Macaca fascicularis: one gene and its partners. The protein of the gene in region 1 interacts with the protein of each later gene in a pairwise test. Links are inferred from orthologs where the notes say so. Each region holds a gene or a part of one and is shown in the gene's direction. Other genes may lie near its edges. The genes, in order: SPG21, FAM114A1, ATPAF2, CTPS2, S100B, DTX2 and CCDC102B.

Evidence for each region.
Region 2: the proteins of SPG21 (region 1) and FAM114A1 interact in binary tests that used the Homo sapiens proteins (3 or more experiments, as listed by UniProt). The two-hybrid records come from large-scale screens. The link is inferred for Macaca fascicularis from reciprocal best matches to the Homo sapiens genes SPG21 and FAM114A1.
Region 3: the proteins of SPG21 (region 1) and ATPAF2 interact in binary tests that used the Homo sapiens proteins (3 or more experiments, as listed by UniProt). The two-hybrid records come from large-scale screens. The link is inferred for Macaca fascicularis from reciprocal best matches to the Homo sapiens genes SPG21 and ATPAF2.
Region 4: the proteins of SPG21 (region 1) and CTPS2 interact in binary tests that used the Homo sapiens proteins (3 or more experiments, as listed by UniProt). The two-hybrid records come from large-scale screens. The link is inferred for Macaca fascicularis from reciprocal best matches to the Homo sapiens genes SPG21 and CTPS2.
Region 5: the proteins of SPG21 (region 1) and S100B interact in binary tests that used the Homo sapiens proteins (3 or more experiments, as listed by UniProt). The two-hybrid records come from large-scale screens. The link is inferred for Macaca fascicularis from reciprocal best matches to the Homo sapiens genes SPG21 and S100B.
Region 6: the proteins of SPG21 (region 1) and DTX2 interact in binary tests that used the Homo sapiens proteins (3 or more experiments, as listed by UniProt). The two-hybrid records come from large-scale screens. The link is inferred for Macaca fascicularis from reciprocal best matches to the Homo sapiens genes SPG21 and DTX2.
Region 7: the proteins of SPG21 (region 1) and CCDC102B interact in binary tests that used the Homo sapiens proteins (3 or more experiments, as listed by UniProt). The two-hybrid records come from large-scale screens. The link is inferred for Macaca fascicularis from reciprocal best matches to the Homo sapiens genes SPG21 and CCDC102B.

What each region holds. Positions count from the first base shown.
Region 1 is NC_088381.1:41,578,780-41,582,759, reverse strand, and holds the start of SPG21 (maspardin), read left to right. Parts: upstream 1-1,180; 5' UTR 1,181-1,430; intron 1,431-2,254; 5' UTR 2,255-2,454; intron 2,455-3,980. UniProt on the Homo sapiens protein: May play a role as a negative regulatory factor in CD4-dependent T-cell activation.
Region 2 is NC_088379.1:38,235,135-38,239,129, forward strand, and holds the end of FAM114A1 (protein NOXP20), read left to right. Parts: intron 1-416; coding exon 417-470; intron 471-2,893; coding exon 2,894-2,995; 3' UTR 2,996-3,495; downstream 3,496-3,995. UniProt on the Homo sapiens protein: May play a role in neuronal cell development.
Region 3 is NC_088390.1:18,151,858-18,155,960, reverse strand, and holds the start of ATPAF2 (ATP synthase mitochondrial F1 complex assembly factor 2), read left to right. Parts: upstream 1-1,303; 5' UTR 1,304-1,461; coding exon 1,462-1,594; intron 1,595-4,103. Other genes in the region: GID4 (glucose-induced degradation protein 4 homolog), read right to left, coding at 582-1,019. UniProt on the Homo sapiens protein: Plays a role in the assembly of the F1 component of the mitochondrial ATP synthase (ATPase).
Region 4 is NC_088395.1:16,509,013-16,512,512, reverse strand, and holds part of CTPS2 (CTP synthase 2), read left to right. Parts: intron 1-1,619; 5' UTR 1,620-1,658; coding exon 1,659-1,824; intron 1,825-3,500. UniProt on the Homo sapiens protein: Catalyzes the ATP-dependent amination of UTP to CTP with either L-glutamine or ammonia as the source of nitrogen. Constitutes the rate-limiting enzyme in the synthesis of cytosine nucleotides.
Region 5 is NC_088377.1:522,084-526,174, forward strand, and holds the start of S100B (protein S100-B), read left to right. Parts: upstream 1-1,291; 5' UTR 1,292-1,361; intron 1,362-3,912; exon of another isoform or gene 3,913-3,919; 5' UTR 3,920-3,920; coding exon 3,921-4,058; intron 4,059-4,091. UniProt on the Homo sapiens protein: Small zinc- and- and calcium-binding protein that is highly expressed in astrocytes and constitutes one of the most abundant soluble proteins in brain.
Region 6 is NC_088377.1:51,247,824-51,251,323, reverse strand, and holds part of DTX2 (probable E3 ubiquitin-protein ligase DTX2), read left to right. Parts: intron 1-263; coding exon 264-903; intron 904-3,500. UniProt on the Homo sapiens protein: Regulator of Notch signaling, a signaling pathway involved in cell-cell communications that regulates a broad spectrum of cell-fate determinations.
Region 7 is NC_088392.1:11,756,766-11,760,265, reverse strand, and holds part of CCDC102B (coiled-coil domain-containing protein 102B), read left to right. Parts: intron 1-717; coding exon 718-927; intron 928-3,500. UniProt on the Homo sapiens protein: During interphase, forms fibers at the proximal ends of centrioles to maintain centrosome cohesion. During mitosis, dissociates from the centrosome following phosphorylation to allow centrosome separation. Contributes to CROCC/rootletin filament formation.

The sequences.
Region 1 (3,980 bases):
GAAGCTTCGAGACCACCTGGGAAAATAGACAACTAATGTAATGAATATCCATAACCAGTTTCACAGACAACCAGTAGTTTGCAAGTTATTCCACCCATTGAACAATTCCAAATATTGGAGAAAAGGCCCTCAAGTTAAAATACTCCATGGAAACATGCTCTATACATCTATGTGGTGCTTACAATAAAAGATGACTTCCTGCGACTGACTTGCAACTCCGAAAGAAGTGATTTAGAGAAAAAAAAAGAAAGAAAGAAAGAAAAAGAAAAAGGTAAGTATGTCACTGTGCTCTTGGGAAATGCTTTTGGGATTTGTCCAAGTTCTAGAGTGGAACCCAAGGCTCCTGAGCCAGGGGACAGAAGTGATAATTAAGTAGGATGCAATTTAGTTGGATCTTCCCTGACCTTAATCCCATAAACAGTTGCCTAGGTAAGGGCAAAGTCTACAGGCCCTAAAACAGGGTACAAGCTTCCCTAAAACTATTAGAGAGAAGCACTTTCAACAGGACCTTGTTGCAGGATCCCTAAAAAAAATTCAAAACAAGGAGATTTACATGTTATTCACCTTATCATAATTTCAGAAATATTTTACTAAAAAAAAAGAGTCGTGACGTCTGCAACACCTCAAGACGTTGACGTTTGCAACACCTTAAGAACAATGATTATAAGTGTATTAATAAGTATTAATAAGTGTATAAATGTATTATAAGTGTATTAATATTCTCTCTGATTTTAAGGGGAAAATGATGAAGGAACAGGAAGATGGGTGGGCGTACGTTCCCAGAAATCCCCAGAACGTCAAAAGGAAGTGGGGACTTTGAGTGGAAGACTAATGGAGAGCGTCTACGGTTGTGCCAAAGGAAAAAAAATGTTCCTAAGAAAAGAGTATACAAAGTTCTGTTCACCAAAGCCTGGAACCCAAAGGTGTCTCTCCAAAGCTGTAAACGCGAACTGAAAGCAGAAGCAGGTCCCAAGGGGCCAGGCGCCCCCTTCTCCTGGGTCCGCAGGTCAGACAGGAGAACTAAGGCTGACCCACAGGTAATTCAGCCCTCTCCCAACGCCCGCCGCCGCTGAGGATCCCACGGAGCCGCCCCCCGCTCCCGTCGCCGTGGCGACCGCCGGAGCCACGCAGCACCGCCCCTTCCTCGCGACGTGGCCCCGCCCCCTCAGAACCCGGAAGCGGGAGTCTCGCGCCCGCTGAGCGGCGGTTCGGAAGTGGGGAGCGCGCCGGCCCGAGCTCGCTCGGCCACGCGCCCCGCCCCTCAGAGGCCGGCCTCCTGCTCTCTCCGCACGGCCTGCTGCGCCCGCGAGTCCCGAGCGCTCGGTCGCCCGCCCCGACCGGGGCCCAGCCGCCTCCACGGCCCGCGCTCGTACTGGAGCGAAGAGCAGCCTCTGGAAGGAGGGGAAGGGACGTGGGGGCGGCCACGGCAGGTGAGGGTGGGCGAAGCGCTGGGAAGCTGCTGGGTGTGCGGTATGCGGTGTTGTAGGTGTGTGTATGGCGCGTGGCTGCTTTGGTTGGTGTGACTTTGTGAGTATGTTCTGAGTGGGCCGGTCCATGTGACCACTCACGTGATCACGTGCCCTTGTGAGTGTGTGTCTGGGGCCGACTGTGGGCTGTGGGGTGGTCGGTGTGCTTGCGACCCTGCCTTTGTGTGGCTGTCACCGGTGGGACTGGCGGGGAGCTGTGTATGAGTCTCCAGCGGGAGGTGGGGGCGGCAGAGGGCTTAACCGGGGCATCCTCCTGTAAACCCATACTCGGGCTACACGACTGCAGCCCAGGGACATTTTTTTTTTCTCAGCAAACTTTTAAGAACTCTGAGCAGAGGTCAGTAATTTTGGAGACAGCACCTCGGCCTGAAAGTGACAGATGTCTTTGTTGTTGCTGAGTGTGGGCCAGGCGTGAGGTTTGTGAACGGGGAATGAGGAACAGAGCGGGACCGGAGTGTCTCATTTTTCCTCTTCTCGTTTTCCTGGGGAGTTATAAGTTAGACATTTATGCTGCTTCCTTTGTCTCCACCTACACTGGTTCAGCTCCTTTTGGCACAAAGATTCAACAAATTGAGGAGTAACTTTTTTTTTTTTTTTTTGAGTCGGAGTCTCGCTCTGTCACCCAGGCTGGAGTGCGGTCGCCCGATCCCGGCTCACTGCAAGCTCTGTCTCCTGGGTTCACGCCATTCTCCTGCCTCAGCCTCCCAAGTAACTGGGACTACAGGCGCCCGCCACCACGCCCGGCTAATATTTTGTATTTTCAGTAGAGAGGGGATTTCACCGTGTTAGCCAGGCCTATGGTCTCGATCTCCTGACATCATGATCCGCCCGCCTTGGCCTCCCAAAGTGCTGGAATTACTAGGCGTGAGCCACTGCGCCCAGCCACTGAGGAGTAACTTAATAAGCTGTGTCCAAATTCCAAAAGTTTTTATACCAAGAGCGTGAGAAGAGATGTCACAGATGTCAGGTAGGCAGCTTTTCCTCCTGTAAGGTTTAGAGATAATGCAATGAAGAAAAGAGGGATAGCTTTCCCCTGAAGAGATCTAAGAAAAGGATAGCTGTGTACTTCTGTGGTGAGGGATGGAGAGGTGCATTAAAAAGCCAGTTGCATCGCCCAGAGACTCTCCGCTTCTAATATTTTGTCATGGCTAATATTTATAATCACGGATTGTCCATAATGCACGTCAACTATAGATTGAAATAAAGTAGCAGAAACCTCTGACTAGTTATGCTGGTTATGTGACTTAAACATTGATAAAGGTGATTTTGTTGACTTTAAAGTGGCAGGTTCTGTTGAAGCCCTGAGCGATAGGGGCATAGTCACTACTGGCAGGTTTTTTTGTTTGTTTGTTTTTTGAGACAGAGTCTCACTCTGTCACTCAGGCTGGAGTGCAGTGGTGCGATCTCAGCTCACTGCAACCTCCGTCACCCAGGTTCAAGCTCTCCTGCCTTAGCCTCCTAAGTAGCTGGGATTACAGGCGCCCATTACCACGCCCAGCTCATTTGTTTTTGTTGTTGTTGTTGTTGTTGTTGTTGTTTTGTTTGTTTTTTTGAGATGGAGTTTCGCTCTCGTTGCCCAGGCTGGAGTGCAATGATGCGATCTCGGCTCACCGCAACCTCTGCCTCCCGGGTTCAAGTGATTCTTCCGTCTCAGCTTCCTGCTTAGCTGGGATTACAGGGATGCGCCACCAAGCCCGGCTAATTTTGTGTTTTTAGTAGAGACGGGGCTGCACCGTGTTGGCCAGGCTGGTCTCAAACTCCTGACCTCAGGTGATCCACCCACCTCAGCCTCCCAAAGTGCTGGGATTATAGGCGTGAGCCACTGCACCCAGCCACAACTGGCAGTTTTTTTTTTTTTTTTTTTTGAGACAGAGTCTCGCTCTGTCGCCCAGGCTGGAGTGCAGTGGCCGGATCTCAGCTCACTGCAAACTCTGCCTCCCGGGTTTAAGCCATTCTCCTGCCTCAGCCTCCCGAGTAGCTGGGACTACAGGCACCCGCCACCTCGCCCGGCTAGTTTTTTTGTATTTTTAGTAGAGACGGGGTTTCACTGTGTTAGCCAGGATGGTCTCGATCTCCTGACCTCGTGATCCACCCGTCTCGGCCTCCCAAAGTGCTGGGATTACAGGCTTGAGCCACCGCGCCCGGCCCACAACTGGCAGTTTTTATTGTCCAGCAGCACAAGGGCCAGGGAAGACAGGGAGTCCACAGCACACCCTGAAGAGGGGTTTCCTTAGGCAAGATTGAGGCTAATACTGTGGTCCTTTTCCCACCAGCATGAACAGGTGCTTTTGTTTTTGTGAGGAACAAAATCATGAGAGATCAAATCAGTTTTGAGCTCATGGTCTACATTCATTCTTATTCAGTACTGACCAGTTTGGTCACAATCTCAGTTAACCTTTGCCATATACAGAATATTCCTGTTATGACTTGGAAAAGTATACCCCCTTGGTGGATGAAAGAGAGCTAGGAGAACAAACTTTCCTATTCATACCA
Region 2 (3,995 bases), on another chromosome or scaffold:
GATCATCAAAATATCAAAATTTTAAGTAAAGACAGCATCCAACCCTCTGCCTACACAACTCAGCCTCCCTCGCTTCACTCTTATCCCAGACCTGCTATAGAATTTACATCGTGAAAAAGGTCTCGGTTTCAATTTCTAGCTATGTGACCTTAAACAAGTTACTCAGCCTTTCTGATCCCTATTTTCTCCTCTTTAAATTGGGGTTATCATGATACCTGCCTACTTCCTAGGATTTCTATTGCAACTAAATAATACTAAAAGGGTGCAGCAGCAGGTATGAAGCCTGGTCTGTAGGAAACATTCTACTTCCTCTCCTCTTCCTCCGTAGAGGATCCCTCAACAAAGCCAGTGTATTACATTTTACGTGCCTGTGGTACGAGCACTAATCTGTCAATTTCATACTTCTGATTCCACAGAGCAACAAGAAGGCCGAGGTCCTCAACCCCATGCTCAGTAGCGTATTGTTAGAGGTAAGTGGTCTCTGGAGAGAAAGTGCTCCTGAATCAAAGTAAATGTTAGAACTGCTGCTTCTTTTTTTTTTTTTTCTTTTGTCTTTCTCCCCCACAGCAAATGTTATTGCAATTCTGAATCTCATCATCAAGTCTTTTTTGAGTATATTTGTGTAGCTCAACCAGCTGTAAACCCTCTGATGAAGCAACAATACCTAATTTTCAAGAATTCCTGATTATAAAAAGAAATGCTAAGCTTGCACGTTATTTCCATCACTGTTTGCTCCAGCAGAAGCAGATTTCTGCTGCCAAATTTGACACTAGATTTAACACTGTGATTATTGGCTGCAATGAGGGGTTATTGCTCATCGGTGATTTTCATAAAAATGGGCACTTCCTTCGATTTAGAATAACCTTTGGTTTAGCTGGGTCTAATCTCCAAGCTGGCAACAATGACCAGGAGAATGTTTAGCCTATGCCCTGTCAGTGACAAGGGCACCATCCTCTGTGCCTTCTCACTCTGCGGACTGCCCGCTCACTAGGACTTTGCAGCATCAGCTGTGTTGATGTAAAGCTGCCCCAACCAACACTGCTGTGTCTTTGCCAGAAACAGTCGCCTAAGAGAGAAGAAAAGAGGTCCAGGAAGAATCCTCATTCTTGAATCATAGGCACTGTGTTCTACTTGTAGAGGAAAGGTAGAAGATTGGTAGAGGAAAATCTTCTGTTAGGGGCTAAACTATAAGTGCCCAGGGCACCTAGCTGAAGGCACAAGGTGTTAACAAGCTAAGTTTGAACATGGGCGATGCATATATCATAGGATTTTGCTCCCTGAGGTGGCTGTCCATTGCAGAATTTGGAAATTACAAAAGTTCAGGAGGGCTATTGTATTAGTCCATTTTCACACTGCTGATAAAGACATACCCGAGACTGGGCAATTTACAAAAGAAAGAAATTTAATGAACTCACAATTCCACGTGGCTGGGGAGGCCTCATAGTCATGGCGGTAGGTGAAAGGCACGTCTCACGTGGCTGCAGACAAGAGAGCTTGTGCAGAGAAACTCCCCTTTATAAAACCATCAGATCTCATGAGACTTACTATCACAAGAATAGCATGGGAAAGACCTGCCCCCATGAATCAATTTCCTCCCACCAGGTCCCTCCCACAACATGTGGAAATTGTGGGAAATTCAAGATGAGATTTGGGTGGTGATACAGCCAAACCATATCAGCTACCTATATATTTATAGCATTGTTTGGGGGACTTGCACCTTACTGTTAAGGAAAACGACAAAGGTACAGAAATAACTAAGTGATGGCACTGAATATTATTGTTTAGGATGCAGCTGCGCAGTAGGATGGCATCAGCCAGAAGGAATAGGGCTGTAGGGGCAGGTCTTGGAGGGACAGACACAGCTAAGAGAAAACCCTGGCAGTCAGAGGCAGAGTGTGGTACAAGAAAAATCTCTCCCTTGGCCACCCAGAAGGCATAAAATTAACTTACCATGTCAGGTATGAGGAATATGAGGTCAAATGTATTTTCTGTTTCCCCAGTAGATGTTTTCACATGTTTTAGTTACCCTAGCCTTTAAAAGGCCTCTCCATCCAATACTGTGTGTTAGTGCACCACAAAACAGGAATAATAATGTCAGCTATGCCAACCAAGCAGGAAGTACCATGCATAGGAGGATAACAGTGTTCAAGTTTGCTGTGAATAACTGCCCAATAATATCTCCAGTTAGCTTTATGTTGACGATTCTTATTTATCGATCTGTAGGGTAGGACAAACTGACCACCTTCATACTGTGTTTTTGTGTTATTTCAGGGCAGTAGGGTTGATCTGGGAAAGGGATAGATAAGACAGGAAATACCCTGGGCCAAAAATGTACACACACTGATGGATCTTAAAAGTCCACAGAAGTGGCTCACGCCTGTAATCCAGGACTTTGGGAGGCCAAGGCAGGCGGATGACGAATTCAGGAGATCAAGACCATCCTGGCCAACATGGTGAAACCCTGTCTCTACTAAAATACAAAGAAATTAGCTGGGCGTGGTGGCACGCGCCTGTAGTCCTAGCTACTCGGGAGGCTGAAGCAGGGGAATCGCTTGAACCTGGGAGGCGGAAGTTGCAGTGAACCAAGATCGTGCCTCTACACTCCAGCCTGGTGACAGAGCAAGACTCCATCTCAAAAAAAAAAAAAAAATCCATGAAAATGATTTGCCTTATCTCGAGTGAATTATTCTCTCTGTTAGTATAGATAATTGAGAGCTGGACATGCCCCATCCAAAAGCATGTGTTTACGCTTGCTTTAAGCACCAACATTGCAAGATAAATACAATCCAGTATTGGGGAGTGGGTTGAAGAGTGGGGACATTATCCAGTTGGAAGAATTGTCAAGGTTAAACTATGAAAATAACCCTTTAATCTCATTTTTCTCCTCTCACAGGGCTGCAACAGCACGACGTACATACAGGATGCCTTCCAGCTGCTGCTGCCTGTTCTGCAGGTCTCACATATCCAGACCAGTTGTTTGAAAGCACAGCCATGACCTGGCCAGACTCCATCCAGTTAAAGGAGACAGCTGGCCGCCTTGCCTCAATATGTACCATTTAAGGGGATGTTCTCTGTGCACCTGGCCACAGACACCCATTTGAGGACACTACAAGCAATTTTGCACAGACAATATTGAGAATGCAAATTTAGAGAGAGTTATCATTTCTCTCAGTGTGTATAATTATTTTTACAAAGAATTGTGTTTTCTTTAAGTTAATTTAAACTTACACGGCTTATATTGAATATTTCCTTTATCTGAAATTTTTTTACAAATATTCATGTTGATTTTCCTGGTTAAGCATGCTGTATTTAGAAATTCATGGGCAGACCTTAGACGTTTTTTTTTAATCCTTTAAATTTCAACCTTTAAATGTTCCATTCTTATAGTATTACTTTAAATCAATTCTAAAACTGAACTTTGTTTTGTTACATAAATGTCGCAGGCAAAAATAACACTACTTATAGATTTTACCTATTATGGTAAAAAAAGGAAAATATGGTCATTCTTTTTTTTTTTTTTTTTTTTTTTTTTGAGATGGAGTCTCGCTCTATCACCAGGCTGGAGTGCGTTGGCACAATCTCGGCTCACTGCAGCCTCCTCCTCCTGGGTTCAAGTGATTCTCCTGCCTCAGCCTCCTGAGTAGCTGGGACTACAGGCTTGCGGCCACCACGCCCAGCCAATTTTTTTGTGTATTTTTAGTAGAGACGGGGTTTCACTATGTTGGCCAGGATGGTCTCGATTTCCTGACCTCATGGTCCCCCGCCTCGGCCTCCCAAAGTGCTGGGATTACAGGCATGAGCCACTGCGCCCAGCCAGTCATTCATTCTTGCAACAAGCGTTTATTGAGCACCTACTGTGTGCTCACAGTAAAGAAACCTGATCTTATCCCAGTAGAGGTAGATATTCTGAAAGAGAATAATTCTTAAACTGCTTAAAGAAGTCCCTACCCCTGGCCGGGCGCGGTGGCTCACGCCTGTAATCCCAGCACTTTGGG
Region 3 (4,103 bases), on another chromosome or scaffold:
ACCAGTCAGTTGTGGGTTAGGCGCTCCCCCGTCTGGGGGTCTGATGAAGCCCTCCTAAGGAGATCTCAGGAGCAGGAAGACCCCAGGGTCTGCGGATTCCTGGGACTGAGGAAGGGGCGGGAGGGCATGTCTCAGGTCTGAGAGAATCTGACATGGGCCCAGACACGGGGAGGGTCCCGAGTCTGGTGAAACCAATGGAGAGTGCTTCAGGGTCTGAAAAGGGCTGGTGGCAGTCCCTGATCTAGGGACGACAGGTCATGGGGAGGAAGGACCCAGGCCTTTCCCTAGTCATGAGGGGCTTCCGGATCCCAGACGGGCCGGTCACGGGCTTCAAGTCTGGGAGTGTTCGGGGTCCGCCAGGAGCCGGTCACGACGGGCTCCGGGTCCGAAGGGGCAGGTCAGGGCTGGGGCTCGGAGAGTGTGAGACACAGGCTGGGCAGGTCCCGGGTGGGAAGCGCCGGGTGCAGGAGGCCCCGGCGGCGAGGGCCTGTTCCGCGGCTGCGGGCTCGAGGAGCCGAGGCGGGCACGGCCCGTGAGCGCCGCGAGGAGGCCCTCGGGCCCCGGCCCGGCCCGGCGCTCACCTGCAGCACCACCTCTACGTCGTACGAGTTCCCCTTGCTCTTCTGGTGGCCGCGGAACTTGGAGCCGCTGTAGAGCAGACTGGTGGCCACGCCGGGCTGCTGGGTGTTGATGGGCGGCGGCGGGATGAGTGAGGCCGCGGAGGCAGCCGAGGCACCGGCCGGCGGGGGACACTCGGTGCGGACGGGCATCGCGGGGTCCCCCGGAGCCAGGGCTGGGGGGAGTGGGAGAGGAACCGCCGCCGCCGCGCGGGAGCCGAGGAGGGTGGCGGGGAGGGAGAGGCCGGGGCGCGCACGCGCGGGGTGGGGGCGGGAGGGGCGACCACCCGCCCGCTGCCTGCGGACCAAGCGCTCTGGCCGCCACCGGGACCCAGGGACCTGCGAGCAGGGCCTCCCAGTCCTGAGCTGGGTCCCCCTCCCGACTTGCCCTCGCGCACACATACACACACAGAGACACTCACAGACACACTCACACACGCACACACACACACCCCGCCCCTTCCGATTGGCTCGGGCGAGCCTCGGGGGCGGGAGCAGGCTCACGCGGCGCTTCCGCCCATTGGCGGGAGGAGAAAACACGTGGCGGGGTGCGCGAGCGGCCCGCTGGGACTTGTAGTCTCCTCGCCGAGGCGCGGCGTGGAGGGGGCGGGGCGAGGTGCGTTTGTGATGCTGATTGACTGGGGGTGTGCGCAGGAGGTTTGCGAAGGCGACGGCGCGCCGTTGGTGTCATGCGGAAGATGGCGGCGTCCAAGGGAGGCTGAGGGCTTTGAGGAAGCGGTGAGAGGTTTCCGTACAGCCCGAACGTGCGGTTTTGGGGGTCCCTTCGCTCTGTGTTTCCTGCTCCAGGTTTCGCGTCGCGCATCTTCCCAGACCCTCGGGCGCGATGTGGAGGAGCTGCCTCCGGCTGCGGGACGGGGGACGCCGTCTCCTGAATCGGCCTGCGGGTGGTCCCTGCGCTTCTATGAGTCCGGGGCCAACCATCCCGTCTCCAGCCCGGGCTTACGCCCCGCCGACAGGTAAGACTATGACACGTTCTCTTTTGGGTAGGGGCCGAGCTGGGGTAAGGTGGGCTTCGGGCTTCGGCTATGCAAAGCGAGGTGACTGAGGCAGGGTTCAGGCTCATGAGGTTATGCAAGCCGGTCAAGTCTTTTTACAGATGAGAAAGTGAAGCCCAGACAAGGGCAGACGACCCGAGAGGGAACAGCGAGTGACGCACGATACAGTAATTGATATTTGGCCTGTGCAGCTTTTCTCAAAGCTTATGGCTGCCCTCCCTAGGAAATAAGGTGTCATCCTTGTTTTCAAAAGGGGAAGTTTGGGCTCTGAATCAGGACTTCGCCTAGGTTACAGACAGACTGTCTCAGAGATTTGAGGTGTCTGACTGCTTTCCGTGTCTCCACTGCCCAACACAATACCTGCACAGAAGGGACCTAGAACCTAGACCTTCATTCCTCCATCCTGGGCACTTCAGCTGCAGGTTTCCTGACTTTCCCTCCTACCACAACCTCTGCCATCTGCAGCCTTCTCTGCTAAATAGAAATTGACATCTCCACCTTTGACTGTGGAGTCACCTCCACCTCCAACTCTGATGAAGCTCAGAAGTAGTGGCTCTTTCATTGCTGATGGTGAGTGGTGTTAGGGTAAGAGTGAGAATGATTCATTTCAGTGAATGAAAAGCAGTAACACCCTCCCACCATTCAATTAGTTTTATAGTGCTGGAGGCAGGAGACACGGTAGTCTTTTAAGACCCACCTGTATGTATTGGTAGAGAAGCTCAGTTAAAGAAGAAAAAGACCCACCTGAATGATGTTCACTGTTGAGTGCAAAGGGTATAATATCCTGATAAGGGACATACAAAGAAGCTGTGAAAACACGGAGAATCACCTGCTCCCATCTTGGGGCTGTTCAGGGTTTAGAATGGGTCTTGGGTGAAAGGGCATTTAAGCTGAGCCATGATAGATGAGTAGGAGTTCAGCAAGAAGGTGGGAGAGTGTTGGGTATCTAGAACATGTCCAGGGTGACAGCAAGATATGAGGGACTTTTCCCTAACACTGCCTGCTTTAGAAACTTGAGAACTTCACAGGCAGTTTGGCATTGTGGCAGGAGTGCAAATCTAGGATCTGATACTGGCAAAACCTCTGAGGTCTGTGTGATCTTGGGCATGCAACTACTTCTTCATTTTTCTGCATGAGTTGAAGTACTAGGTTGTCTTTGAGGATCTTTCTGGCTATCGAGTTCTTTTTTTTTTTTCTTTGTTTCTTTTTTTTTTTTTTTTTTTGAGACAGAGTCTCACTCTGTCGTGGAGGCTGGAGTGCAGTGGCGCGATCTCGGCTCACTGCAACCTCCGCCTCCCAGGTTCAAGTGATTCTCTGGTCTTAGCCTCCTGAGTAGCTGGTACTACAGGCATCTGCCACCATGCCCAGCTAATTTTTGTATTTTTAGTAGAGATGGGGTTTATGTTGGCCAGACAGGTCTCGAACTCCTGACCTTGTGATCTGCCTGCCTCGGCCTCCCAAAGTGCTGGGATTACAGGCGTGAGCCACTGCACCTGTCCAAGTTCTATAACTTTATAGAAATGGGGAAGGGGGCTGGATGCAGCAGGGAGCTGAAGTTTCACCTGTAGGACTCAGGGGAAGGGCCTGGAAATGGGCCATGAAGGGCCAGTAAAGAAGAGGAAGGAAGGGCATCCCGGGGAGGCATAGCAAAGGGGACACATTCGGGAGTTCACCAAGTTGGCAAAAAGCAAAGGGTTAATTAATTACTTTTTAAATGTGTGTGTATATATATATTTATTTATTTATTTTGAGATGGAATTTTGCACTTGTCACCCAGGCTAGAGTGCAATGGCACAATCTTGACTCACTGCAACCTCCGCCTCCCAGATTCAAGCAAGTCTCCTGCCTCAGCCTCCCAAGTAGCTGGGATTACAGGTGTCTACCACCACACCAGGCTAATTTTGTATTTTTAGTAGAGATGGGGTTTCACCATGTTGGCCAGACTGGTCATGAACTCCTGACCTCAGGTGATCCGCCCGCCTCAGCCTCCCAAACTGCTGGGATTATAGGCATGAGCCACCACGCCCGACCACGAAGGGTTAATTTAGATTAGTGGATGCTCACTTTACATAATGGTGGCACTTGATCTACTGCCTTCTTTTCCTTTCTAAAAAGCCTAAACTTACTAGTTAGGCTCTTGGAATTACCTGGCACATGGTAGATAGTACCTAAACTTACTAGTTTAGGCTCTTGGAAGTACCTGGCACATGGTAGGCAGTCAAATGTGAAAGAAAATAGGAATGAATGAATGAGGAGGGAGGTGCAGAAATCAGGCCCATGTGTGCTCTTTAAAGACATTACCAGTTGTGAGATACTTGTGCGTGTTTGGAGTAGTAGAAGATTAAACCCCAGTGGGTTCTTCTCAATGAACACTTCAGTCAGCAAGCTGATTGAACTTGGCCACTTAGAAATGGCCATGCCATTGAAGGTTATCAGAGGGAGAGGAGGAGTTTAGGAAAGGGTCACTGAG
Region 4 (3,500 bases), on another chromosome or scaffold:
GGCACAGAAAGGATAAAGAACTTGCCCAAGGCCGGGCGTGGTGGCTCACGCCTGTGATCCCAGCACTTTGGGAGGCCGAGGTGGGTGGTCACTTGAGACCAGGAGTTTGAGACCAGCCTGGCCAACATGGTGAAATCCCATCTCTACTAAAAATACAAAAATTAGCCCAGCATGGTGGTGCATGCCTATAATCCTAGCTACTTGGGAGGCTGAGGCATGAGAATCATTTGGACCGGGGAGGTGGAGGTTGCAGTGAGCCGAGATTGTGTCACTACATTCCAGCCTGGGCAACTGAGTGAGACCCTGTCTAAAAAAAAAAGAAAAAAAAAGAACTTGCCCAGGTACAGTTTGTACAGATCAGTCTGACACTGGAGTCTGAGCTCTTAAACATTTTAGCATGCCTGTGAATCCTAGAGAAATTTGGTTTATCATGATGAAGTTTGTTGCATGATAGAGTTGAGGTCTTTGGAAACCCAGGGCAACAGACCTAGGCACTTTGCTTGCAGAAGGTATCCACAGCTTTCTGTATAGTGACAATAATAAAAAGCCTAGAAGATAAGACTCTGTTTCAAAAAAAGTTCAAGTATTTAGTTTAGATAGAAAACTGCTGTGTGCTTTTGAAATTTTGGTGAGATGAAGCATGGTGGCTCACTTTTGTAATCACAGCATCTTGGGAGGCCAAGACAAGAGGACTGCTTGAGCCCAGGAGTCTGAGACCAGCCAGGGCATCATAGTAAGAACCTGTCTTTACAAAAATGTTTTAAGAATTAGCTGAGAGAGTTGGCACGTGCCTGTAGTCCCAGCTACTCCAGAGCCTGAGGCAAGAGGATTGCTTGAGCCCTGAAGTTCAAGGTTGCAGTGAGCTATGAACATGCCACTGCACTCCAGCCTGGGTGACCTAGTGAGACACTGTCTCTTAAAAAAAAAAAATTCTGAGCTAGGGGCGGTGGCTCATGCCTGTTATCCCAGCACTTTGGGAGGCTGAGGCAGGTAGATCGGTTGAGCTCAGGAGTTGGAGACTAGCGTGGGCAACATGGTGAAACTCTGTCTCTACAAAAAAACCACAAAAATTAGCAGGGTGTGGTGGTGCTCACCTACAGTCTCAGTTACTAGGATGCTGAGGTGGGAGGATCGCTTGAACCCAGCGAGCAGAGATTACAGTGAACCATGATTGCACCACTGCTCTCCAGCCTGGATGATGGAGTGAGACTGTCTTAAAAAAAAAAAAAAGAAAAAAAAATTCTGGTTGAATGCACTGTCTGCTTTACTAGTTTCAAATATTTCGCCGGGCGCGGTGGCTCAAGCCTGTAATCCCAGCACTTTGGGAGGCCCAGACGGGCGGATCACGAGGTCAGGAGATCGAGACCATCCTGGCTAACACGGTGAAACCCCGTCTCTACTAAAAAGTACAAAAAACTAGCCGGGCGAGGTGGCGGGCGCCTGTAGTCCCAGCTACTTGGGAGGCTGAGGCAGGAGAACGGCGTAAACCCGGGAGGCGGAGCTTGCAGTGAGCTGAGATCTGGCCACTGCACTCCAGCCTGGGCGACAGAGCAAGACTCTGTCTCAAAAAAAAAACCAAATATTTCTCTTTCCTTATCCATAATTTTATTGCCTTTCAGATTATATCTGGGTGTTGGCACCCAGCCACTATTCTGCCAATGAAGTACATCCTGGTCACGGGTGGGGTCATCTCAGGCATCGGTAAAGGGATCATTGCCAGCAGCATTGGGACGATTCTAAAATCATGTGGACTCCGAGTTACTGCCATCAAAATCGACCCCTATATTAACATCGATGCTGGCACTTTTTCACCTTATGAACACGGTACGAAAGAGAACCACTTCCCCCTTATAGCGCTAGGCTCAACTGCATTTTTTTCTTCCGCTTTGGGTAATTTCTTTAGGATGTAGTTCCAGATTTAGAGTGACTAGATTGCATGCTATGAATACGTGAATTTTCTCATGGTCATTGACACATTGTTCATACCTCTGATGACATTCCAAATTAATCAACCCTTGTGGAAACATTGTACTTTTTGTACTATGGATTCTGTTTTATTTTTATCATAAAGGTAGTATGTTTCTCTTAACATTTCCCATTGCCTGGAGTAACTATTATTAATGGTGACATTTTGATGTATGAGTGTATTCTATTTATTTTTAAAATGGCTTTTGCCGGGCGCGGTGGCTCAAGCCTGTAATCCCAGCACTTTGGGAGGCCGAGACGGGTGGATCACGAGGTCAGGAGATCGAGACCATCCTGGATAACACGGTGAAACCCCGTCTCTACTAAGAAATACAAAAAACTAGCCGGGCGAGGTGGCGGGCGCCTGTAGTCCCAGCTACTCGGGAGGCTGAGGCAGGAGAATGGCGTAAACCCGGGAGGCAGAGCTTGCAGTGAGCTGAGATCCGGCCACTGCACTCTAGCCTGGGCGACAGAGCGAGACTCCGTCTCAAAGAAAAAAAAAAAATTAGCTGGGTGTGGTGTCATGTATCTGTAGTCCCAGCTACTCAGGAGGTTGAGGCAGGAGAATCACTTGAACCTGGCAGGCGGAGGTTGCAGTAAGCCAAGATCAAGCCATTGCATTCCAGCCTGGGCGACGGAGCGAGACTCTGTCTCAAAAAAACAAAACAAAACAAAACAAAAAACAAAACAACAACAAAAACCAACCAAAAAAAACCTTTTTATATGCAAGCAAAAAAGAGCATAAATCGTAAGTGTACAGTTGGATGAATTTTCATTAAATGAACACACTGTATAACCAGCCCCTGATCAAGAAACAGAAATGTTTGTGTCCCTTGCTATTCTGTCTTCTTGTTTTTGTTTTTTGAGACAGGGTCTCACTCTATCGCCCAGGCTGGAGTGCAGTGGCCAAGATCTCGGCTCAATGCAACCTCCCCCTCCTGGGCTCAAGTGATCTTCCTGCTTCAGTCCCCTGGGTAGCTGGGATTACGGGTACGCACCACCACGTCTGGCTAATTTTTGTATTTTTTTTTTTAATAGAGCTGGCATTTTGCCATGTTAATCAGGCTGGTCTCGACCTCCTGGGCTCAAGCAATCCTCCTACCTCGGCCTCCCAAAGTGGTGGGATTACAGGCATGAGCCACTGCGCCCGGCCTTGAATATTTTGTTTTAAACTTCACTAACCGGAGAATAAAACAAACAAAAAGAGGGTATCTTATTGTTTTAGTTTAGATTTCTTTGATTTTGATTTTGTTTGTGAATGACTTATTCAAGTCTGTGGTAGATTGTATTTTTGCTTCAAAATATCACCCACCATCCCTCTGTGGAATACATTTCCCTGCCTTTTGACCTTGGAGTTTGGCCACGTAGGATAGTTAACTTGTCTTGGTTTGTTTGGAATGTTCCTGATTTTAAAACAGAAAGTCCCGTGTCCTGGGAACCCGCTTAGTCCTGGGCAAACCAAGCAGGTTGGTCACTCTGTTTGGCCATGTGATTTGTTTTGTCCTATGGGATGTTAGGGAATATTAACATATGCC
Region 5 (4,091 bases), on another chromosome or scaffold:
GCACAGAGCACAGTTGTGCCTTCCTTGGGCCTGGGCAAGCTCTGTGCTTCACAGAGCAAGCCTGTGCGGATCCTTCAGCAGAGACCACAGCCAGGGTTGGTGAAGCTTAAGAGGAAGTGAGGGCCAACCAACCGGCTCAGGCCGTTCCTCACAGGAGCCTGGGGCAGGCTGACCCACGCAAGACCACAGCTCTCGGCCCTGTGCTATTTCCAGGGCACACTTATAGATCCTGAATGGTAAAGAACTTCCTAGATAAAGCAATGACAGCAAAACAGCCGTGTACGCAGATATCTCGTGGGAAACCCTTTCACGGCCACTTCGAAACTGGGTTGGGAGAAGGACCTGATGCTGGGTCAGGCATCGGTTGGGGACCATGGACACGTTTGTAGAGTTTGGGCCAATGCTTTTGTGTAATTTGTCAGAAGGAACACCTACTTCCTCACTCTTGTGAGGAAGAACCCACAAACTGGCCCCCGTGTTCAGAGGCTCAGGTCAACAAGTTGAGGGGACAGCTGGACTTCTCCTTCTTCAGGCTGGCTGGAGCCTTCAGCAAGGGGTACACCGTCCACACGCCTCTGTAAAACAGCATTCGCACAGGACATCTCTAAGGCATTGTCCAACTCTGACAGTCTGTGACCTTCTACCCTGGGATGGAGGGAAAGGCCTTGGGATACAATCCACACATCATGTTTTCCCCTAAAAGTACCACCCTTTTTAGTCCCTGCAGACACTGGGTTCAGCAGCTTCTCTGAGGCAGCCCCGTTGAGCCCAGGGCCGACCACAGACAAGCACTACCGTCCACAGAACCTCACGCCCGGTGGGGCCAGACGTGGAGGCTGGCAGAGGAGAGAAGCTCCAGGGGCCTCTCCATTAGAAACCAGCTTGCAGGCCACTTAATCTCCTACGCTCAGCCTGTACTTGCAAGCTGCTTGTTCTTGGCTGCACATTTGCTTTGTTTGAATCAATTAATCCAAGTCTCTCTCCTCTCCCTACCCCCAACCTTGCCTTTAGGGGAACATCAATATTCATGTAATAAATAAATCACACAAAAAGCTGACTCCCCACTTCCTGCCCTACAGGCCCTTTTTTCTTCCTCAGCCCATGTGCAATCCTGGCTCCCAGCAAGTCCCCGGGGCTGCTTGGTCAATGCAGCCCTGTGTGCAGGCCTGGCAGCCCTGCCACCCCCGCCCTCGGCCCCCATTGGCTGCCATGGCCTGCAGTGGGCTGCACCAGGGTTCATCCGTCCTCCCTGGGCAGACGGAATAAGAGGCTGCCTCTGCCCACTAGACCTGCCGCCCAGGACCCGCAGCAGACACGAGGCCCGCAGCAAGGAGACCAGGAAGGGGTGAGACAAGGAAGAGGTGAGAAAGAGCCAGGCCAAGAGGATGCTCAGGAAGAAATGGTTGTTTTCGTTTGGGTGGAAGGGAATGGAGGGGTAGAAACTAAATGGTAGCTTAAAAACCCCCTTTAGGACAATTGGCAGCACTTCAGAAGTGTCAATAGGATGATGTGTTTTAATCTCTACATTATTGCTTCTTTGTGGACACCTGACTGCATCAGCCCTAGGCAGCTAGAGGTATTTTTCATAAATCAGAGAAACCTCAGGTCTCGGCCCAGAAGTGATTGCTGACATTTTCCCAGTGGTGCTACAAATACTACCTCTCCTGTAACTACTTGAAGAGTAAAGATTTTGCTTCCCACTGCAGCTGGAAATGATGGAGAACCTAATGCTAGTTTAGTCCATATCCTAAATAAACCCCTTTTCTCCTTGTTACTTTTTCCACCGCCCTGGGTAAGTAACTCTTCAGTTTTCCAGTTTCCCTCAGTTTGAAGTGCCAGGGTGACAACAGCCCCAGGACGCCACTCAGAAATTACGTAACAGTTACAAATAAATTGAGTCAAAGAAATTGGGGTTTTGGTGGGTTTTAACTTTCTTCAGTCTCACAGTTTCTTAGGGAGGTTGAACCCCTAGAGGGATCCTCACACGCTAGGTAACGTGTCTTTCTAAGGAGTTAAAGTTCAAATGTTCTCTTGTTCTCAATATTAAAAGATTAATGTAGGACATTCACAGAATGTGAGAAAGAAACATATTTATTTCCATTTCTCTTAAAAGATAAACTATAAACCATCAACTATTTATTAAGTCAAAGGGAAAAATTTAACAAGAATTTTTTAATTGATTTGTAGCGTGGTTATGAAGAAAACCATATTTTCTAGTGGTTTCTATTAGTGTTCTAATATATGGAATACATGTTTTATGCCTTCCTTTGTAATAATCTCGTTAGTCATAGTTCATAGAAAAACAATTTAACCTCCTTTTCCCCAAATCATCATGGACTTTGAGGAGCATCAGAATGATGTAAAAGTGTCTTGTTTTGTTTTGTTCAAAAAAAATACACACACATATATCAATAATTGAAAACTTGAGTGCAAAGAATAAGAAAAGCATGAAATGTTAAAGATTTTAATCCATCTTAACTGTTCTATTTATGAATTACCAAATTTTTAGGGACTCAAGAGCAAAATAAAGTACACTGATTATTAATAGAATGCCTTTAGCAAAGATCTAGCCAGCACAAAAAAATCTTCAATCCTGTTTCCTTTGGAGCATCAGAAATAAATAAAATTTTTAACATCTAATTCCAAATTATTTTTAAGATGTAAGTCATATATTCAACATGGGAATGATTTTTCAACACTATTTATTAATTTATTTTTAATTATAACAGTGCAAATGTTCTTATTTGATGATTAGAACTCAAGGCCAAAAGCTGGTAAATTTCTCGGCCTGCCCATCTGTTTTGTGAGACAACTGACAAGGCATCCTTTGTAGAAGGCGCCTCATTCCCAGACTGATGAGATATTTCCTTGGTTTGCAGGCTGTGGCGTAAGGTACTTGCTGTGAGGGAGGTCGGAGGGATCTTACTTTGACAGCTGCAGAGAAACACCTATTCCTGCCCCGTCCCAGTCACTGCAGTGAATGAACCAGCCTTTCCCTGCACTGGAGGTAGAATGCAGGCTCAGCAGCTCAGCTTCCTGCCGGATTCTGTCCCTCCCTGCCACAGAACCACACGCATTTAATCAGTTAAACTTAGGATACATTTTTTTTCCTGGTAGATCAAATAACTTTCACTGTTATTCTTCAAAAAGATTGTGGCAATTCTACCATATTTATTTTTCCAGATGAATTTTACAGCTGTTTTTGTCATGTCACACATCCAAAAAAAATTCCATCATTTTTATTAAAAATGATTTAAATTTACATATGAATTTAAAGGAAAAACTTCCTACATTTTATGTTCCTCCGAATCTCTTGGAAGGACCTGCATTTTTCTTCCTAAACTTAGTCTTAGATCACATGCTATTTCTATATGAATAGAATATTTCGCACTGGATTTTCTATTTCTTTATTGATAGAATATAGGAATGCTCTTGATTTTTGTCTTATTTTGCTCCTAGTCACTGTCTCACTTTCAGATTGATTTTAACAGCTTGTAGTCGATGGTTTGCTCACCTGCACTCTACCACCTCATCTTGGAGCCTTACAAGAACAGAGAGGGACCGTGTGGGGAGGAAGCAGAAATTTAACCCGTGAATTCCTTTGCTGCTCTGCGTCTGTATTTTTGCTAAAGATTCCCTGTTGGACCAACCCAACCAGAAGCCAGAGGGCATGGGAATATATCCCTGTGGCCCACAGAGACAGAGAAGGCTCACATCTGTCTAAGAGGCAGGTGGAAGGATTGATAAAGGTACAAATTCCCAGAATGCCCCTCCAGGTCATGCCTGCTGTTCTGAGCTTGAAAAGAGTGCCAGGGCCAGTCCATCCCCCTTGTCTGGGTTGCGGTCTGTATTGATAACCTGTGAAATGTTTTATGATGAGGTATAGATGAGAAGGCATCTTTCCTTTGCGAGCCCCTAGGATGTCTGAGCTGGAGAAAGCCATGGTGGCCCTCATCGACGTTTTCCACCAATATTCTGGAAGGGAGGGAGACAAGCACAAGCTGAAGAAATCCGAACTGAAGGAGCTCATCAACAATGAGCTTTCCCATTTCTTAGAGGTGAGTCTTGCTTTTTACACTTGACACCTTCTC
Region 6 (3,500 bases), on another chromosome or scaffold:
TGTAGTCCCAGCTCTTCAGGAGGCTAAGGCAGGAGGATCACTTGAGCCCAGGAGGTCAGGGTGGCAGAGAACTATGATCACATCACGGCACTGCAGCCTGGGCGACAAAGGAGACCCTGTCTCTAAAAATAAATAAACAAATAGCAGCATGACTGTGTACCTACTGTGTTCCTATTTATTTGGGCTGTTGAAAAAAGAATTTGAACGTTCCCTGTATTTTGGGGATGCTAGCAGACTAACCTTTTGTTTTTCTTTGGAAACAGGCACCATGAGGGCTGTGCGGAGGCACCTGTTCCCCCAGCACTCAGCCCCTGGCCGAGGTGTCGTCTGGGAGTGGCTGAGCGACGATGGCTCCTGGACCGCCTACGAAGCCAGCGTCTGTGACTATCTGGAGCAGCAGGTGGCCAGGGGCAATCAGCTCGTGGACTTGGCCCCGCTGGGGTACAACTACACTGTCAACTATGCCACCCAAACGCAGACCAACAAGACTTCCAGCTTCTGCCGCAGTGTGCGGCGCCAAGCAGGGCCGCCTTACCCGGTGACCACCATCATCGCTCCGCCGGGCCACACGGGCGTTGCCTGCTCTTGCCACCAGTGCCTCAGCGGCAGCGGAACTGGCCCCGTGTCAGGCCGCTACCGCCACTCCATGACCAACCTCCCTGCGTACCCCGCCCCCCAGCACCCCCCGCACAGGACCGCTTTTGTGTTTGGGACCCACCAGGCCTTTGCACCGTACAGCAAACCCTCACTCTCCGGGGCTCGGTCTGCGCCCAGGCTGAACACCACCAACCCCTGGGGCGCGGCTCCTCCCTCCCTGGGGAGCCAGCCCCTCTACCGCTCCAGCCTCTCCCACCTGGGACTGCAGCACCTGCCCCCAGGATCCTCCACTTCTGGTGCAGTCAGGTATTGTGGGCAACAGCCACTCGTTTTGTCCGCCCTGTGTTTCCGCTCTTACTTGGCTGGGAAGACTCACCCCAATTCCTGCAGATGCGGCTCCTGCCCCCTGGGTGGTCCCTGCCATGGCATCTCATTTGCATGTGCCATGTGAGTGCTGAGGTGCCATGGCCGTCCAGAGCCTACCTGACCCCTTGTACCCGAGTCCTGGTGGTCACCACACGGGTTAGAATCTACAGTCCTTTCACTCACGATGCTGGGACCCTCCACGGAGAGCAGAGTTAGAGGCCTGTGGCCTCTGCTTGCGGGCTTCATGGCGAGCATTGTGCCTGAGAACACCGGGTCACTGCCTGTACACTGACTCCTGCCATGTGCCAGGTCGTGAAGACCCAGAGACCAGAGCATCAGCCCTTACCCCTGCGACCCAGTCTAGTGTGGGGGGCTGTCAGCACGGTGTGAGGGAGGACAGAATGTGGAGCATGTGGCAGTGGCTGCAGGTGGCATGGGTGACCCGGCCCCCTGCTGATGCAGCCCAGCCCAGAGTGCCTGGTAAAGCACTCAGCTCCTTGAGAGAGAGATAAGGATACCACGGGCCCCGTGCAGACCAGAGCAGGTGGCATTTAAAGTGAGGAGATTGGCCAAGCACAGAGGCTGACACCTTTAATCCCAGCACTTTGGGAGGCCAAGGCAGGAAGATCATTTGAGCCCAGGAGTCAGAAACCAGCCTGAGCAACATAGTGAGACCTCATCTCCACACACACAAAAAATTTTTAATTAGCCAGGCATGGTGGTGCACACCTGTGATCCCAGCTACTCAGGAGACTGAGGCAGGAGGATCGCTTGAGCCCAGGAGGTCGAGGCAGCAGTGAGCTGTGATCGTGCCACTGCACTCCAGCCCCTAGGCGACAGAGCGAGACCCTGTCTTAAAGCTGGGCCCAGTGGCTCATGTGTGTAATCCCAGCACTTTGGGAGGCCAAGGTGGACGTATCATCTGAGGTCAGGAGTTTGAGACCAGCCTGGCCAATATGGTGAAACCCATCTCTGCTAAAAATACAAAAATTAGCCAGGCATGGTGGTCAGCACCTGTAATCCCAGCTATTTGTAAGGCCGAGGCAAGAGAATCCCTTGAACCCAGGAGGTGGATGTTGCAGTGAGCCAAGACCATGCCACTGCACTCCAGCCTGGGTGACAAAGAGTGAAACTCCATCTCGGCCGGGCGCGGTGGCTCAAGCCTGTAATCCCAGCACTTTGGGAGGCCGAGACGGGTGGATCACGAGGTCAGGAGATCTAGACCATCCTGGCTAACACGGTGAAACCCCGTCTCTACTAAAAAATACAAAAAACTAGCCGGGCGAGGTGGCAGGCGCCTGTAGTCCCAGCTACTCGGGAGGCTGAGGCAGGAGAATGGCGTGAACCCGGGAGGTGGAGCTTGCAGTGAGCTGAGATCCGGCCACTGCACTCCAGCCTGGGCGACAGAGCGAGACTCCGTCTCAAAAAAAAAAAAACTCCATCTCAAAAAAAAGATAAAATGAGGAACCCCCCTGGATTTCCCTGGATTTGGCCAAGGTGAATGCTCTGGGCTGGCCGTAGCCCTCTGACGCTCTGGCTGACTTGGGGCTTTGTCATTCATTATTGAGAGTGTTGGGCTTGGAGCACATTTTGAGAATTCAGAGTGGTAGCTGGGACGGGGCTTTCCGAGAGTGTGCTGGTGTGGGTGGTGAGGGAGTGTGTGGGCCGCACTGGCCCTGGTCAGCATCCTGCTGCCTCCCTGCTCACTGGCCCACCCCTGCCTACCGCACCCACGTCAAGGGCTGAAACTTCTCAGGGTGGTCGAGACCTCCTTGGCGACTTCTCGGACCTCTAGTATTTTTTCAGACTGTGTTTCTGAGGACCCTGTCAGCTTGTGTAAGACACAGTGACAGCGCCTCCCACTTATTGGTTCGTGTCATGTGCCAGGCCCTCCTGAGCAGGCTGCATGAGTGACTTCACTCATGCCACGACGCTCTCAGGCTGAGCAGTGTTCTTCACTTACAGGGGAGCACCTCCAGGCCCATGAGGTTGGCGACACAGCCAGCAAGTGCCAGAGCTGGGATTCAGCCCAGGCCCCAAGAGTGCGCTATCTGGGGCACATGGGGAGTTCTTGATGCTCCCGGGAAGGCAGGGGGCTCTTTTAATACATTTTAATTTTATTTTGTTACTATTTTTAGAGACAGGGTTTTGCTGTGTCACCCGGGCTAGAGTACAGTGGTACAGTCATGGTTCACTGCAGGCTCGAACTGCTGTGCTCAAGTGATCCTCCTGCCTCAGCCTCCTGAGTAGCTGGGACCACAGGTGTACACCACCACACCCGGCTAATTTTTCAGTTTTATGTATTGGCATGGTCTTGCCATGTTGTCCAGGCTAGTCTTGAATTCCTGGCCTCAAGCAATCCTCTTGCCTCAGCCTTCCAACGTGCTGAGATTATAGGCATGAGCCATCACACCTGGCCCAAAAGGCCTCTTGAGGGATGAGCTAGGAGGAGGCCAGTAGACAGGAGAGTGATGGGCCTTGGGTGAGTTAGAGTTCTCATGGGCATCTTCTGCCAGGAGTTGGGGCACGCGCATCTG
Region 7 (3,500 bases), on another chromosome or scaffold:
CCTGCCTCAGCCTCCCAAGTAGCTGGGACTACAGGCGCCCACCACCACGCCTGGCTAATTTTTTGTATTTTTAGTAGAGACGAGGTTTCACCGTGTTAGCCAGGATGGTCTTGATCTCCTGACCTTGTGATCCGCCCACTTGGGCCTCCCAAAGTGCTGGGATCACAGGCGTGAGCCACCGCGCCTGGCCAAAATGAAATTACCTTTTGCATTACCTTTTGGCAACTGCGAATGTTGCATAGATAGATGGATGGATGGATAGATAGACAGACAGATAGATAGAAAGATAGATATATAGCATTTATCTATTCCCTAGATAAATGAGTGAATGAATAAGTGGAATATATCCAATCAAAATTGCCCACAAAATGGTTTTGTGTCTTCTCCACTGAGAATGTTCATCAGTTGAGAGTGGAGATTAATGTGTTCCCAAGAGCAGCAGTTTTTCACTTGACACATGTATTTGAAAAATATGGTCCATATGGCTGTAGAGATAGTTATATGAACCAAGAGGAAAAGTCTATTTATCTACGGTTTGGCCTGATCTTCAGACTTTTGTATTTTTCTCATGTTTTCAAACAAATAGAATTTTCTTTTTAAAATTATATCAATGGACATATCCATGAACCTTTCTTAATGGGAGTCTGTTTGTCGGTGGCGTTACCTTTTGGCAGTTGCAAATGCTGCATGCTGCTTTTTTGTGTTTTCTGTGTGTAGCTAGAGAGATTGCAAGCTGAAAACAGCTCGGAATGGGACAAGAGGGAAATACTTGAAACAGAAAAGCAGGGACTGGAGAGAGAAAATAGAAGGTTGAAGATCCAGATGAAAGAAATGGAAGAGCTCTTGGATAAGAAAATTAGATTAAGTGCAAACTCTCCAAGTCCTGATTTCAAGAAGTCACAAATTGACCTGCAAGAGAAAAACCAGGTATGGGTGCTCCTTGGAGCAAATTCTCACTGTCTAATCTCACCCTCATGCCTATGCCGAGTCTGTCTTCACTGGTACATGCCTCCACATTTGGCTATTTCCTTTTGTGCTAGCTAACACCTGATACCCCTTGCTCTTCTGCCCACTAGGATGTAAAATAATGTTGTTCATGCATCTGAAACAAAGTGTGTCAAATGTTAAAATATGACAAATCTTCAGACAGTTTCGAGATTTCCAAAAGGAGGAAGAAAAATGAAGTAAGAAATAGACCTTTCTGGTTTTTTGTTTCTTATTAAAGCTTTGTCTCAGTATTTTCTAAGCTATTGATCTTATTTCCAGTAAAGATTTTTTCATTAATTCAAGCAACTATACAATAAGCACTTGCTGGTAGCTATGGTAAGTTCTACATAAACATTTAAATTTAGCTGAAACTCACTGTTTCTGGTTCTTTTTTTGTCAGTTTCAGAACGATTATTTTTGAGCTAATTAAATGCATAATTTTTCAAATAATTTTTCCAGCCTATGGTACAAATCTTAAAACCAGAATAACATTCCTAATTTGAATTTGGGAAATTTAATTTTAGATGTGTTTTATCCCCAAGCCAATAGATATAGTTTGTGCTATAGGCGGACATTTTTTTGATAGTTTACAGATTTTTAAACGTGTTTTTAATGACAGTCTTATAGTTTTAATGTGGGTTTGTGTCAATATGCTGCAAATTTTATTTTCCTTGTTTCTATTTTTCAATTACATATAGCATCTTAATGCACAATTCTATTTCTCACTCAATTCCTGTAACAGTTTTCAAGGGTGAGTTTGATAAGTTCATAGTTTTGAGATATATGAGTCATTCATACTCATATAAGCTCTAAAAGCTACATGGCCAGAAAAATTGAATTCCGTATTGTTTTGTCATTCTTTCATGAATCTAGGGATTTATTGCAAATGCAAGATTAAATTGTATTAGTGTTTCATGACCTAGCAATGCAAATATCTAAAGTTAAATGTTATAGTCCGTGACCATAATTTTCTATTGTACTGATTCATAAACTATCTATAATAATGTATTTGATTCTGACATAAGTACACTGATAAATCTGTAGACATCTTTTTTGGACATCTCTACTCTAAACAGCACAGAATCATCTCAATTATGGACTGTGGATTGATTACAGAAATACTTTTTATTTGATTTATTTAAACAAGACAAACATTTATTTGTATTATTCTCTGTGTCAGTCACTGTTCTATATGCAGGTAATGAGAATAGTAATTAATGAATCATTATCCCCGCCTAGCATGGGCTTAGAGTCTATGCAGGGAGTCATACAAATTTTTATAAATAAAACACTATAATAACTGCTAAGAATAAAGTGGCAGGGGACATAGATTAAGAAGCAATTGATTATATATTTAATTTTGGCACCTTTCTAGTTGTACCAAAATGTCATAATATAAAGTGTGTCTTTCAGGAAAAATTGAGGCCTGTTTGGAGCTGGCATTGTCGTAACCTGTCATCAGGGCACACCTATTCCAGACCTGGTCTCTTTGACGACAGTGTAGTCATTTGGACTAGGACTAAGCAGAACTTGGAAACTGGGAGGATCCTCGAAGGTCTAAGTCAGTGGGTATGCTGATCACTTAGAAGACTGTAGGATTTTTTAAGTATAGATCATTTTGATGGTGGGGGTGGCATTGGTGATTTTTACCCTCTTCATTATAAATTCAGACTATCTGCTGGAACTAAAATAATCACTTATTTTGGAACAGTAGCACGCCAAAATTCTTAGTGTAACAGGAACTTCCCCAGAAGCTCAAAATGTCAAGATTATGATGTCCTCAAATGTCAAATGAATCAGAGCTGTGTACAGAATATGCCAAGGTTCAGGGAATAATGTAGATTTTATCATAACACAAAACCATATTGTAGTTTTAACACTATTTCAATAAGAGTTAATTTATATGTATATAAGTACCATGGATGAATACCATGGTGCTATGTGCATGTGCGTATGTGTGTGTGTGTGTGTGTGTGTGTGTGTATACCATGTATAAGTACTATGTCTACATATGTATAGAAGTTCCATACATGAGTGAGGCAGTGAAAGAAGGTGCTAGCATGTAAAGGCCACTAGTGCAAACACTGCTTGAATCTTAGTCTCTAAAAGAAATATAAGATCTCTTACTACATGACATTTGCATTTAAATCACACTTACCAAAGGTTTGTGGCAGACATAAAGCTGCCTGCTACTCATTAAGAACCCCACATAAATTTAAAAAAAATATGTTGGGTTTTAATATTCTAACTGTTCAATAAAATTTTTGTAAGTCCCTATTAATTGAAAAAGGTATGACTTTTTACAGGGCTTTACATTTGATTTTTTTTTATTTCAGTGGTATAGGGAATACATTTTTAAAGAAAATGCCTTCCAGTTTTAAATTGCACTATTAATTCATAGAAAAATAATTTTATTTACATGAGTAATCTTATCACATAAATCTCCATTGAGTAGTTGCTTTTATATACTATGTTTAAGGATATGTGTACATCATCCTTTTACAACTTAAAAA